2 linked regions of the Caenorhabditis elegans genome follow. The protein of the gene in region 2 purifies or fractionates together with the protein of the main gene of each other region. This does not show direct contact. Each region holds a gene or a part of one and is shown on either strand. Other genes may lie near its edges.

What was found. The genes of interacting proteins can lie anywhere in the genome.
Region 1: the proteins of R11G1.1 (region 2) and xpc-1 fractionate together in Caenorhabditis elegans (co-fractionation; one large-scale study listed by BioGRID). This does not show direct contact.

Annotation. Positions count from the first base shown.
Region 1 is NC_003282.8:1,989,848-1,997,506, reverse strand, and holds the start of xpc-1 (XPC (Xeroderma Pigmentosum group C) DNA repair gene homolog), read right to left. Parts: upstream 4,419-7,659; 5' UTR 4,417-4,418; coding exon 4,294-4,416; intron 3,860-4,293; coding exon 2,869-3,859; intron 1,047-2,868; coding exon 586-1,046; intron 1-585. Other genes in the region: Y76B12C.6 (TPR_REGION domain-containing protein), read right to left, coding at 5,281-5,334, 6,153-6,957.
Region 2 is NC_003284.9:3,655,987-3,663,374, reverse strand, and holds the start of R11G1.1 (EGF-like domain-containing protein), read right to left. Parts: upstream 3,884-7,388; coding exon 3,814-3,883; intron 3,769-3,813; coding exon 3,646-3,768; intron 3,602-3,645; coding exon 3,476-3,601; intron 3,213-3,475; coding exon 3,099-3,212; intron 2,931-3,098; coding exon 1,242-2,930; intron 1,190-1,241; coding exon 1,092-1,189; intron 1,045-1,091; coding exon 888-1,044; intron 842-887; coding exon 673-841; intron 628-672; coding exon 462-627; intron 405-461; coding exon 198-404; intron 140-197; coding exon 8-139; intron 1-7. Other genes in the region: R11G1.7 (Ovule protein), read right to left, coding at 6,171-6,238, 6,853-7,102.

The sequences.
Region 1 (7,659 bases), on a different chromosome or scaffold from region 2:
TTTATCGATTTTTAAATCAAAATCTTCGGATTTACATGATTTTTGGGTCAAAATTTTTGAAAATCCATTTTTCTGGGCTGAAAACTCTCGAAAATCATCATTTTTGAGGTCAAATCGCTCAGATTTTTACAAATTTCAGCTCAAAAATCCTTGAAAATCCTCATTTTGGGATTAAAAGCTCCAAGCTTCGATTTTCTGAAATTTATCGAATTTTCGGTCAAAATCTTCAAATTTTTTCGATTTTCAGCTCAAAAATGTCTGAAAATTTTCATTTTCGGGTCTAAATTTTTGTAAATCCATTTTTCTTGGCTGAAAACTCTCGAAAATCATCATTTTTTAGGTCAAATCGCTCAAATTTTTACAAATTTCAGCTCAAAAATCCTTGAAAATCCTCATTTTGGGATTAAAAGCTCCAAGCTTCGATTTTCTGAAATTTATCGAATTTTCGGTCAAAATCTTCAAATTTTTTCGATTTTCAGCTCAAAAATGTCTGAAAATTCTCATTTTTGGGTCTAAATTTTCGAATTTTTCCGATTTTCGCCTCAAAAATCCTCCAATTTCTCCAAGCAAGTCAAGCAGCAGCACCTTATGAGTATTCTCCCACATCTCTCGAATTTTTCGATTAATCTCCTGTCTCAAATAGATTGCCCACCAATCCTTCACAACTTCTTCTCCATCATCTCCTCCTCCACCTTCATGATCAATCGATACTTCAATATTATCATCAATAATCGGTGGTTGAAAATGCTCCATTTCTTCCCATTCATCTTCCGACGACGACGAATCTCCCGCCGTGTTTTTCTCGTCGTTTTTCTCCGATTTTTTCACATTTTTTTGAGATTTTTCAAATTCGACGGGATCCAGAACTGCTGCATCCAACAACGAGCGGCCCGCGAAATAGGCTTTTTTCATCATTTCGTGCAGTTTGTAGGCCTCGTCATACGTGATTTCTTCGATTTTTCCACGTGCTACGTAGGCGTGTGCCACGTGGCGATATTCAAGCATACGACGTTCACCTTTTGCCAATTTACGATCGGTTTCGTAGTCTGGAAATTTTGGAAAATTTTATTTTTTTTTGTGTGATTTTTTTTACAAAAAATCAAAAAATTTTAATTTTATTCTGAATTTTTCAAATTTTTATGATCAAAAAATTAAAAATCATAATTTTCCGATTTTTTTCATTAAAAATTCCGAAAAATTGACTTTTTTTGAGTTATTTTCAATTTTAAATTTGAAGAAGCCTTTTTCTCCGATTTTCAAAATTTTAACTTTTTAATTTTAACAATTTTAACAAAATTTTAACCCAAAAAATCTGATTTTCTCTGAAAAAAAATCGAAAATTTCGAAATTTTATGCTTTTCATGCTTTTTTATGCTTTTTTGTGAAAAGCATAAAATTTCGAGATTTTCGATTTTTTTTCAGAGAAAATCAGATTTTTTGGGTTAAAATTTTGTTAAAATTGTTAAAATAAAATTTTGAAAATCGGAGAAAAATCGGCTTCTTCAAATTTAAAATTGAAAATTTGCTCAAAAAAACGTCAATTTTTCGAAATTTTTAATGAAAAAAATCGGAAAATTATGATTTTTAATTTTTTGATCATAAAAATTTGAAAATTTAGTTTTTTTTTTTTTGGTTTTTTTTTTCAGAGAAAATCGCCAATTTTTAGCTTTATCTGTCAGAAGAGGCTGCTTGGCAGATCAGAAAATTTGGAAATTTTCACTTTTTTTTCGATTTTTCACCAAAAATTCGCAAAATCGAACCAAAAATGACCGGCTATTACTGAAAATTGAATTTTGTTATTTTTTTCTTAAAAAAATCAATTTTTTTAAAATTATTATTTTTCTTGAAAATAATTTAAAATTTTCGATTTTTCTGTTTCTTTTTTGGATTATTATTTTTTTATTTTTTAGCAAAAAAAATCGAAACTTTTTTTTTAGAAAATTAGAAATTTTACAGATTTTTCGGCTTTTTCCAAATTTTGAAATTTTTTTCCGGTAATTTAACATCAAAATCTTTAAAAAAAAAATTTTTTTTTTTGAAATCTATTTTTGATCCTAAGATTCCATACATTCTTTTTTAGAAATTTTTAAAAATATCGTGTTTTTTTTCTTTGTTACCGAGAAAAAAAGTTTAAAAATTCGTAAAATCTGCAGGCAAAATTTGGAATATTTGACACATTTTTTAGAGAATTTTTCTCCAGAAAACACCGATAAACGAAAAAAATTTTAAAAATTTTTTTCGGTAATTTTTTAAAATTTTTCTAAATTCGGACTAAAAATGACCGGAAATTATTGAAAATTAAAATTTTTCCGAAAAATTTCAATTTTTTCATCAAAAAATTGGACATTTTTCTAAAAAAAAAAATTAAAAATCTTTTTTTGGATTTTTTAAATCGAAAATTGGACAATTTTCAAAAAAAAATCCCTTTTTGGTACAATTTAAATTTTTTTTAAAATTTAAAACAAAAAGAAATCTCTTGAAAAAACAAAAAAATTTTTTTTTTCAAAAAATAAAATCGATTTTTCGAATTTTTCTTCCTGGAAATTTTTTCAAAAATTCGAAAAAAAAATCCAAAATAGGGGAAAAACTCATTTTTGTAACAAAAAATCGATAAAATATTGATTTTCACCAATTTTTTTGATTTTTTCTCAAAAAAATCCAGAATTTTTTCAAAAATTTGGCAAAAACAAAATTAAATAATTTGATTTTTCGCTTTTCGACGCTCGAAAGTTTTTTTTTGAAAAATATTCCAAAATTGGTAGAAATCTCTCATTTTTTTGCAGTATTTTTCCGACTTTTTGCAAAAAATAACTCGATAATATATTGATTTTCACACCAATTTTTCGATTTTTTCCACAAAATTTTCACCTTTCAAATTTTTCTTCCACGGCTGATCGGGTTTCTGTTTCTGAGCCATTCGAAGACTCGATTTTGCCGGCTTTTTCGCCGCGTTTTTGCTGCCTGGATTTCCAGTTTTTCTAGCGATCGATGCTTTGGAGCATTTTGGCCAGTGAAGGTCTTTTGTGGTGGCTCCGCCGCTTGACAACGTTGATTTTCTCTGAATTTTTCGTCGTTTTCTGGGCTCCGAAGGTCCTGGAATTGAAGGATCCTCCGATGCTTCAGAAGCTTCAGACTCATCGTCGGGGCTCTCCGAGCTGCTCTCAGATTCCGAAATTTTGAACGATTTTTCGCGTTTTTTCGCAATTTTTGAGCCAGTTTTCGGACGAATTTCAGTGTCCTCGTCTTCTGAAGAGGATTCAAGTTCGGAGCTCGATGAGCTCAACTCCAATTGATCATCACTTGGCACGTAGGACACTTTTTTGGCGGTTGTGACTGATCTACGTGGGCGGGAAATTCGATTTGGAGCATTTTGAGCCAATTTTGAGCCATTTTGAGCCGAAAAATCCGGTTTTTCGTCAGATTTTGAAGATTTTACGCCATTTTCAGCCCGAATTTCCGGATCATCTTCGATAATTGCAACTTTTGAGCCATTTGTAGTAGATTTTGGAACACTTTGAACCAAATTTTCCGATTTTTCATCGCTTTTCACCACCCTTGAGCCATTTTTCGAGGATTTTTTAGCCAAATTTCCTGGTTTTTCATCAATTTCCATGCGATTTTCTTCCAAAAAATTCGATGATTTTGAGCCATTTTCAGCAGAAATTCGCAAATTTTCATCGATTTTCACCAATTTTCGGCCGTTTTTCTTGGACTTTTGCACAACAATTTCAGCTTCTTCTTCGTTCTCCAACTCGAATCCCATCTCGTCGAGCTCCGCTTCGATCGGCGAACCTTGTTTTCGGCTCGGTTTTGTGGATTTTTTGGTGGTTTTTGGTGGCATTGGAGCAGTGGATGGGGCCTGAAAAAATTTGAATTATAAAGGAGTTCGGTAGAGCGCGATTGCATTTTATAGGAATTTCAGCTTTTCTCCGGCTGTAATACTGAATTTATAAAAATTTGGGTAAAAATTTATCGACTTTTGAATATTTTTAGGTCAAAAAATCACGAATTTATCGATTTTTAAAGATTTTTAGGTCAAAAAATTACAATTTTTTCGATTTTTTACTGTAAAAACTTAAAATTACAATTTTAATCGAAAAATGTGATGAAAACGAATTTTCATCCAAATGTTCTTAAGAATTCTTCGAAATTAATTATTTTTTTCTCATATTTTCGTACATTTTGGGGTCAAACATGGCCAAAGTTGCTATTTTTGGTTAGAAATTCGGCAAAATCGTCAAATTTTTTTCAAGATTTTCATGGATTTTCGCTGAAAAAATCCCCGCGGCGAACCTCGTTTTTCTTGGCTCCGCGAGCTCTTTTCACCGGTGGTTCCGATGGTTGAGGCTCCTCTCGAGCATTTAAATCAGACGTAGTTTGTTGTTGAAGACGTGAAGAACGTCTTCTGGTTTCCATTTCTGCAAGAAATTGGTGAAAAAAAATGATTTAAAATTTTTAAATTCACAAAAATCGATTTAAAAAAAGCCTTCAGATATAAGTGGATTTTCACCGAAAATTCAGGGGAAATCGCGAAAAATTTGAGCATAAATTCATGATAAGTTAGGAAAAAAAAATTTGTGGAAAAAATTTAAAATAATTTTGGAAAACCCGTTGAAATATTGGTGAATATGGAGAGCTGGGCGGCTGGGCTGGGGAAACAAAGTACATGAAAAACTGAAAGGGTAATGGTGGAAATATGGAGGGTATTCACATTTCTTAGTGGAAAATTTCAGAAAAAAATAAATACAGTACAAAATATGCGGTCGGCGGGAGATTTGAATATTTGAGTGAAAAATAGTCGTAATTTTCACGATTTTAAAGCAATTTTTGGTGCGAATTTCTTTGAAATTTTTCATTCAAAATTCTTGAATTTGAATGGAAAATTTTGCATTTTTTGCTTTTTTTTTGGCGAAATTTTTGAAAATCCATTTTTCTGGGCTGAAAACTCTCGAAATTGCTAATTTTTAGGTCAAAATGTTCAAATTTTTCAGATTTTCAGCTCAGAAATCCTTGAAAATGCTCATTTTGGGATTAAAAGCTCCAAACTTTGATTTTCTGAAATTTATCGAATTTTCGGTCAAAATCTTCAAATTTTTCCGATTTTCGGCTTAAAAGTATCTGAAAATGTTCATTTTTAGCTGAAATCGATCGATTTTATCGATTTTTAAATCAAAATCTTCGGATTTACATGATTTTTTGGGGAATTTTTTGTGTGTGGGTAAAGTGAAAAAAAGGGGGAAAAATTATGCACAAATATGTAGAAAGTAGATGTCAAAATGTTCATTGTGGTGGTCCATAACTTCCACTGGGCCCGGGGCCTCCAAATCCGAGATCCTGCAAAAAATGGGGGGTTTTTTAATGGAAAAATCAAAGAATTTTGAGAGTAAAATTTGAAATTTCCAGTGTAATTTTATGCAAAACAGAGCAAAATTCTGAATTTTAAAATGCATTAATTTTCCAATTTTCAGGGCGTTTTTTCTGGAAAATTTCAAAATTTTCTTATAAATCGTTGGTTTTTCTTTTTTTTTTTTAAATTTCAGGCCAAAAGTGCAAATTTCAGCGAAAATCGATAATTTTGGGGGGGGGGGGGGGGGTTTTTTTCAGCATAAAATTCAAAAATTTTGCCGTGTTCCGGAAAATTTGCAGCGCTAAATTTGAATTTTTAAGCTGAATTTGAAACATTTTACACATTTTTTTACTGTGTTTTTTTTTTCAGAAATTTAAGCTCAAAAATTCAAATTTTGCCTATTTTTCTGGAATTTTAGCGTCGTAAAATTCCTCTGAAATCCAACAACTTTTCAACTTTTTTTCCAAAATTTTTGTTTTTTATCTTAAATTTCAACCGAAATTCAAAAAATTTCGCCCAATTTTTCTGAAAACTTTCAGAATTTCTCGATTCTTTTTTTTTCAATAATTCCAACCAAAATCGCAAATTTTTGGGTTTAATTTCACAAAAAGTCAGCTATAAAAAACATTTTTCAGCTTAATTACAAAAATTTCAGGACTAAAACAATTTTTGCAGGTTTTTCACAAATTTTAGGGCAAAAATTCAAATTTTGGCCTTTTTCTGGAATTTGAGCTCTGAAATTCAAATTTTTAGCAGTTTTCCACAAATTTCCACAATTTTCTTTTCAAATTTCGGGCACACATACACTCCTCGCTCCAGTGGACATTCTCTTCCTCCGATTCTCCTCCGATTGTTGTTGCTGGTGTGAATCCGGTCGTTTTCTAACAGCCTGCTGCTGCTGCTGAGCTCCATGAATCCCACCAGGCGGTAGCGGGGGCACCGCGTCGAGCACATCTCGAGCCCGATCCAACTCCGAGAGGAGTCCAAGGCTTCCAAGACCATCACGGGCTCCACCACGTTTTGCCCATACTCCAAGTGAACTCTCAGTTTCAACTGGATTGATTGGAGGCACCAGTGGGAGGGTTGGAGGGCCCAGCCGAGGCGGCCCGGGGTCCAGTTCAGGGATCATCTGAGGAGCTGCTCCCGGAGCCCCAAAAGACTGCAAAATCGTCGCCAAATCAATTCCCTGAAGCTGAGGAGGAGCCGGCGGTGGAGCTGAAGCCTGCTGAACCGCTGCTGGAACAATTGGATCCAAAAAGAGCATAAATCCGGCGGTGCTCGGCGATGTCGTATGATCTACCTGATACTGTAGAACCTTGTAGCCAGTAGCATCCGCCGAATTGTGCTCAAAAGTCTTTGTGAGCAAGCCGATATACGTATCCAGTGACTGTTTTGGCTGATATTCTCCAGGTTGCCGGTGCTCTTCAGCCTGGGGAACCCGTAAAGCGTCGGCTGCTGCTGATCCTCCTGGCGGGACTCCGTACATATGGCCGACACGTGGCGAATAAGTGTTCCGACAATCGGCTGATTGTGGAAGCTCGAGCACTAGATCCTTATCGTGTGGAATTGCCATTGCACGCATAAAATCGGGGAATGCTTCTCTGAAAACTCTGGCACGGCGTTGTTGAGGGTCTTGGAATATGGGCACTGCAACTTTTTCCTCACGAGGGACGAGGAAAAGTGGTTCCTAGGCCATGGCCGAGGGGCCGACAAGTTTAAGCGGCCATTTATCTTGCTTTGTTTTCCGCCTGTTTTCTTTTATTTTTCACAGATTTTTCCCGTTTTTTCTTATTAAAAGTGATAAATAAATATTTTTTGCAGATGCTGAAACAATTTCCAAGTAAAAAATCATGTATTCAGTGGGCAAACAGCGGTGAAAGTGGGCATTGTAGTTTTGAGGTTTCCAAAATTCAACTTTTTCGGTGAAAAAGTCGAGATTTTCGCACAAAAAGTGAATTTTGAAAACCTCAAAACTCTCAAAATCAAAATCACCTCAAAATCAGGTAGTCTCAGCATTTAAGCAGCATATGTATCATGTTCCAGAAAAAGTTTAGGTTTTTTATTCCCGTAATCCATCATATTGCATTGACCACTTTCACCGCTGCTTGCCCACTTGCCCAGAATACATGATTTTTTTACTTGGAAATTGTTTTAGCATCTGCAAAAAATATTTATTTATCAGTTTTAATAAGAAAAAACGAAAAAAATCGATGAAAAACAAAAGAAAACAGGCGGAAAACAAAGCAAGATAAATGGCCGCTGAAACTTGTCGGCCCCTCGGCCATGGCCTAGAAACCACTTTTCCTCGTCCC
Region 2 (7,388 bases):
AAAGTACCTTCTCAAGAATAGGAGTTTCGATAACGCCTACGGGTGTTGGAGGCTCCGAATTCGCTGTGTGCGTTGATATCTTTGCAAGGCTACTAACTTTCGGTAAAGACTCTGAATTGTGAATGGATGCAGTGGGATTCTGAAACATTGAACACATTCAAAAGGCTGAATGGATCATAAAACACATTGAACCTTACCTCGTTAACTTCTTCTATAACTTGACTCATGTCCGGAGGCCTTGAAACTTTTTTCCGCTTGAAATCTGCCAGAGCAAATGCACTCGCTACAGATGTAGATCCTTTGGCGCTGTGTTTCAGACTTTCAGCAAATATAGCTTTCATGTGAGGTAACTTTTCCCGATTTCCATCCATTTCCAAACTTTTCGCAGCTTTTTGACCCACAACCTGTTAAAATAAATTATAAGAGTTTTAGGAATTTCGAATTTGCGAAACTTGGCTCACCACAGTTTGCAAACCATCCGCGTTGGCAGGGTGAATCGCAATGTAACGACAACATCGTTTCCGACAGAGTGCATAACAAGCTATGCACGCTAGAAGGGACAAGAAGAAGGATCCCAGGAGAAAAATTAGCCAGACAATTAAACAGATTCCGAAAACCATCACGCAACTAAAAATTGATACATATTATTTTGCATGTAACACGTTTTCTTACTCTGATTCTTCAGGAAAACCTTCACACGACCTTCCATATCCATCCGAACTATCTGTTGTACCCTTTTTGCATTTACACGCATACCGCAAATTTTCATCATCTAGAATGCAATCCGAGTAAACATGACAATGATTGAACTCCGAATTGGAACACAGATCAGTGCCGAGTGCTGGAAATAATTTACATGATATGGTTTATAAGCTGTGCACACTCACCTTCTGCAGTCAGATTCAAGTTTCCAGGCTCCCCGAATGATCTTGTCGTTAACAATCGATCGATCTCTTGCAAAGTGCAGTCACTACATTGAACAATAGCAACTAATGCAGAATCATGTTCCGCCGAACGAATGCACGATTTATAAGATTGACCAATCTGCAAAAACTTCCAATATGAAAAATAATTGATACCCACAAATCTACCTTTTGATGTAAAATCCGCTGTTTTTGCTCAAGCGATGCCTTATCTGTATTACAAACTGTGTTAACCTTCACTTTGACAACCACCAATGAAAGAGTTTCTGAAATATTTTCAAGCAAAATTAATTAAAGCGATACAATTTTGAACAATACCTTCACATTGCCCGTTCCCAGTGTTTTTGAATTGGCCATTTGGACAATCACAAATTACCGATCCACCAGAATCAGACATTCTTCGGAGGCAGTCATCAACCTGTGGGTCACCTGTCTTCACTGTTGTTGTTGGAACACTTGAAGTCGATACCGATTCGAAGGTTGAACTGTTTTCGGTGACAATCGTTGAAGTACCACTAGATGGTGTTGGAGTCGTTTTCACTGTTGGACCAATGTGTATGACTTTATCTGATCCTGGTACAATTTGTCCTTCATGTTCTCCCAAATTTGTTTCATTTTCAATCTTCGTCGACTCATTATTATCGATTTCTTCAACAACCCCGTTTGGTCCAACATGAATAATTTTTGTTCGAGATGTAGCCTTCAAAGTGGTGGTTTTCGGTGTAAGATTTCTGTCTATCTGAGTTGTCTGAGCATTGTTTGTAGAAGGCGTCAGCAATGTTTTTTCTTCAATGAAACCTTCTGGAACTTTCGAAGGATGGGTAATATGGCTACCAGGTGTTGTGAAACCCCCTCCCGGTATTTCGAAACCAGAGTGAGGTGGTACTTCCGTTTGCACATACTTCTCAATTTCGGCTTGTGGGATCAGTGTTGGTAATGCACCATGAGGAGGATTTTGAGTTACGAAAGGTCTATGGGGTGACTGGGGAGTTGTGAAAAAACTTGGAATGGAGAGTGGTCTTGGTGTTGCGAAAGTTGGAAGAATGCGACCAGGAATTAATGGTATTAACGTGTCGGTACCGGATTTTTGTTCATCCGGTATTGTAACACCAGGATAAGGTTTTGTTTTTTCAGATTCCCATGGTCGGGTAACTGGGCGGAGGTCTACAGGTGGTACATTAGGAAACATGTCAAAAGGTCCTGGAGTTGTCATTGGAACACTGGGCCTAGTGAGCATGTCAAATGGATTCATTCCTGGTGGTTGCGATATTCCATCACCCGTGCCTCCTCCATACTCAAACTCTGATGGTAGATCTGGTTTTCTTGAAGTGACCGGTCGGCTGATTATAATTCCCGGTTTTATTGGTGGAATCTTTTCCGAACCCTCTTCTATAGTTGGATACGTAATCGGCGGAAGTGGGCCTTGATGGTGTGGGTCCGGTGTGGTAGTCACAATTGGAATTGGCCAGTTGTTTAGAGGTGAGGGCGCAGTGATGGGTGGCAAGTCTGGCCGTCCAGGAAAAATGAGCGGAGCCTGAGGAAACTGCGTCTGGCTAATTGATGGAATTGTTATAAGGCGAAATGTGTGAGATTGAGTGACAGCTTCTGTTGGAGGTACAGGTGTTGATGAATGTGTTGGAAAGAAGTCTCCTATTGGCTCATTTGGTTTGTGGAAGCCAGTTACTCGTGATATTTCGACACCGGATGGTTCAGGGAAGAAATCCCCAAGTTTTGATTCTTCACTTGGAAATACTGGGAAGTTACTCAACGGTGGTTTTGTATTTCCCAGCAGAGGAGATGTAATAAACGGATATTTTGGAGTAGTATAGTCTATCACAGGATTAGATGGCAAGGTGACGGTAGATGGTTTCGAGCACATTGAGCAACCTTCCACGTAGAGAGACGGGTGATCTTCCGGTGGTGGTGGTACTGGTTTTGGGAGATAGAGTCCGGATTGATTTCTGGCACATCTATAGGCGTGTTCAAGAGGCATCACATAGTTTTCGTCTGGAAAAACAAATTCTGATTTTGAACTCTCCAAATTTCCAGTTTAATCCACACAAGAATATTTCTTCAAACAATATTACAAACGTTAGTTCCAGAGAATAACACTACATACTATTGCGATCAAAAATTGTTTTTATCAATTTGCCAATTTTTTAAAAGTAAAAATACCTTCATCGCTGCCATCGTTACAATCCTTCTTCCCGTCTAACAACCATTCCCACAAAACACACTCTCCGTAACCTTTGCACGGAAATGACGTTTCATCCGCACATAGTTTTTCTTCTGAAAATTTAAAATTTCACTAACTTATTCCCGTATGTTTTTTCTCCCAACTATTGAGTATTAGCTGCAGACAAATGACAAAAATTCAGACAAAATAAAAATATTCTGAATTTTTAAATAATTGACATGCTCTATTAAAAACTGCCCAAAAAAGTTGGCAAACGAAATTCCATGGCAGTTTTCAATTGTTTAGCAGGAAGTTACTCCCTTCAAATGTCTAATATACTAATCGAGATTATTAGGTAAACCTAAAATGAACTCACTTGACGTAGAACACCATGGAAGTTGTTTTGATGAACCGTCACATTTAGGATAAACAATACATGGAAGTGCATCTTTGTAATCTGCACAATAAACTGGACCACAACTAACTTGACCGATGAAACACCCTAAACGTGAATTACCTTAAAATCATATTGCTTCATGTACTTACATTCATCGCTACCATCCATACAATCAGGTTTTCCATCTCGAAATTGAGAAATTGGAACACACTGACCTAACCCGCAATCATAGTCACCCAACATACAACGTCCTGGTACCCTCATTCGAATTGCTGAAAATTGGGACATGAAATTGAATTTTCTGAAGCTTCACCTACCATCATATGATAAAAACTGCGAAGAAGCAAAAATTGGAAAGACGACCAAATATAGACAGACGGTCAGCATGGAAAGACTGGAACTGGTTACATGTGTACTCTTGAGCAGACAACATCAGAATGTCTCACTCATCCAATTATGTTGATCTTTTCAATTGGGATCTGTAAGCGTTTGAAATTTTTCGAAACCTTTTTAAAATTTGCAGAAAAAAAATAAAATTTTTAACATCTCAAAAATTATTCGGATAAATATATATACTGGCATGATTGGGAGGCGGGTAATACGACAGGAAAAGTATAAGGAGCGATTAAAGTGCACATTGGAACAATTGGTTAGCAGTGTCCATTACATGAGCAATAATAGCTCTTTGGAATGCGTCAGTAACTATAGTCGGTGAGTTGAAACAAGAAAACACACGAAGATAGGCTGCGGGACAAGAAAAGAAAGCGAGCGCAACCTCCATTTCCGATCATTTTCCATCAATCTTGCTGAGTTCTTTCAAGTAAAGAACAAGTTTCGGGAATGAGTATAATTTTTTTTGGAAGAATGTAGATGGTATAAAAATAACTTTTAGTTGTTTTTACATTTCAAGGTGGAGCCAGTGGGGAAATTGTTGAAAACCACTCCGATCGTGCCAAAATGATCAAATATCATATTTAAAATTTTCAAACGTGTTTTGAATGCTTTCTTATAAAAACATTGTTTCAAAAGTGGTAATTACTTATTTTTGCAATGTTCTTGAAAGCGGTCGGAAAAAAATGTATCTTTGAAAATGTATTATCTAGTTATGTTTCAAGAATTGTAGGGATTCAAACATGCAGCAAAGCTATAGTTTTCTCAAAAAGTGGCATAAACTCAGTAATTGATAATAAAAAACAATGGTACAAAGTTATTAAAGTTTAATTAAACGCAAATAAATATCAAATTGTTAAATAATTGTAAAATCCCAATCTGACTATGAGAAGAGGTCAATTATGAACCATACAATATGAAATGCGGTAAATTTTATAAATTTTTTAATTTTTTAACAAGGAAAATATTTCAGAGGAGCTTTATAAACCAGAAAAAAAATTGAAAAATGAACAAATATACCTCTATTTTTGATAATTAGCCATTAACAATTCTTGATTAATTAAGAGAAAGTAATTTTTAAATGACCGTATTTTAAAGAAGTGATAGGGAGTTGAAAAAAAATTTAGTGAAGTGGTAAATACAGTACATATATTTTACGAACTTCCTAAATGGATGGACAAAGTAGAAATATCCAGAAATAGAGAGCTCAAACTATACTAAGAAAAAAATGAGCGCAAGGTCATTGTACTTGAAACAAACTATTAGTCAACACCAACAAAGAAACCATCTGAGCATGATTAACAAAGGAAAGATAACACATATGTGGTATTCGGCAAAAAAAGTATAGTTTTTGGTAAGTGGGCAGCAAAAGAATTGATGACCGCACGGGCGCTTGCCTTTCCTCCCACAGAGGTGCGCCTTTTATGCTCTTCCGTTTTGTGGTGGACCTTGCTTCTGACCACTCAGTCTACCTCCAATAACTCACTTGACCTACTCTTAAAACTTGCTTCATCTTTTTTTGCTACGTAACATTTAATAAATTACGTCAGTGAGCTATAAGAAATCAGTTTTCAGATCCAATAAATCTTATGACGGAGTTTTGTGCAGTTGTATTGCAACACTGGTTGACAAAAAGTATAGTCCGACATGAAAACTCAAAAAATGGCGATTCAAAAACTTAGCAACTTCCGGAGCAAGTTTGCATGCACACATATACATGAAATATTTTAAGAGAGTATAAAGTCTGAGTGGAAAGGTTTTTCTTACGGGGGTCGTGACAGGAAACGGATCCAACACCAAAAGTAACCAGAAACTTTTTTTAATTTTAGCTACTACTTTTTTATAACAAGTCTATATAGCAGTACAAGAATATAACATATTAATACATCCAAAAAAGAACTAAACATTGCTACATTGGAACCACTACGACTTGTGGCATAAGTAGCTGACCAAGAAGACGCAGTTGGATGCCAAAGGGAGAGTGTTCAAAAAGTAGTTGACAGCTCTTTTATTCCAGTCTCGGAGATCTGACCGCACGCTCGCGCTATTTTCTCCCTTGCGTCCTTGCTCTGACCACTCGTGGCCCCCAGGAAAATTACCCTGAATGTCCATTCAAAAACTCACCACCACAAGCAGCACCACCTCAACAAATTTTCGTGTGTATACATTTTGCTTTATTGTGTTTTGCGATTTCGTAAGATGCCAGGAACAAAAAAGTTGAATGCCGTCAGAAAAATTCATACAAAAAATGTGCAATTATACAATTAGTGTGATAAGAACTCCTTCAATGTCCACTTTGCTCCGACGAAGTTTCCCATTCAAGTGCTGAGAGGTCGTCAATTTCATGTGTAGCTGAAAAAAAGAGAAGTCAAAATCTGAAACAGATTTAGATCTTAAAAATTGAAAACAAAAATGTCGACAGTAAATTTGCTCAAAAAAATTAATGATCTGAACCTATAACCACTTCTTTCAGGTTTTTTTTTCTCGAAGAAATTGGACACTATTAGTTTCAGCACCGGCATTCAAACTGAAAGTGGAACTAGAAAAGTTTGGAAAAAAAATATCGGAAAAAACTGACGTTGTAATTTTGCTAAATTTTTACTTATCAGTTTCAAAGGCACACGCAGTTTTCCCGAGTGAGCCCTGTACGATTTAGCGATAGTGAGTAGCTAAAAGCGCGAAATTTTACAGATTTGTTTATTAAACACAAAAAAAAGTTGTTTATGAAATTTAAAATTTCAAACTGCACAGAGAGACAAAATATATGTATAATACCGAGTGTCACATTTCCGAACTTACATTTTCTTTAAATTTTGGAAAAGTCTTGGAGCTAGGATTATCCGAAAATCTGATATTTTTCGAATAATATTTCTTCTATACTACAATTCTCACATGTCTTAAATCAGATTACAGTTTGACTGAAATTTACTTTGACGTATCAGAGGTTCTGAAGCCAAACAACTCACCAAGTTTAACACATTTTTTAGTATTGAGTGTAACTTTTTCCACGGGCTTCACAGGATCATCAACATTTTTTTTAGCGTCAGTGTTCTTTGCTGCTTCAGAAATTCTTAATTGCTCCATTCGCTTTGCTGAAGCAATGAGCCTATCCGCAACGGTTTCACCACGAGATCCCTTTTTCTTGCGTTTCTCCTTAATCGCCTCCACATGTTCCGTCGTCTCCTCTTTTTGCTGTATCGATTTTGGACTGACCATGCTGAATACAAAATTTGAACTGTTACTTGAAATGTATTGGTCTATTTAGAGATAATATTTTTAGAGTTTTTTTTAAAGATAGATAAAGTTTAGATAAAATATACATATTCAAATATTAAGGAGCAAATAAACATAAATGGTAAAAGCTAGTTTGTGAGCAACAATTGTATTGTTTTGAAGATAACTTGAAAACAATTAACAAATTTTTGAAACAAGGTTTTTAAATAACGTGAACAAAAATGTGACATTTACGCTTAACTCCAAGAAAAAGAAATTATAGAAAAAT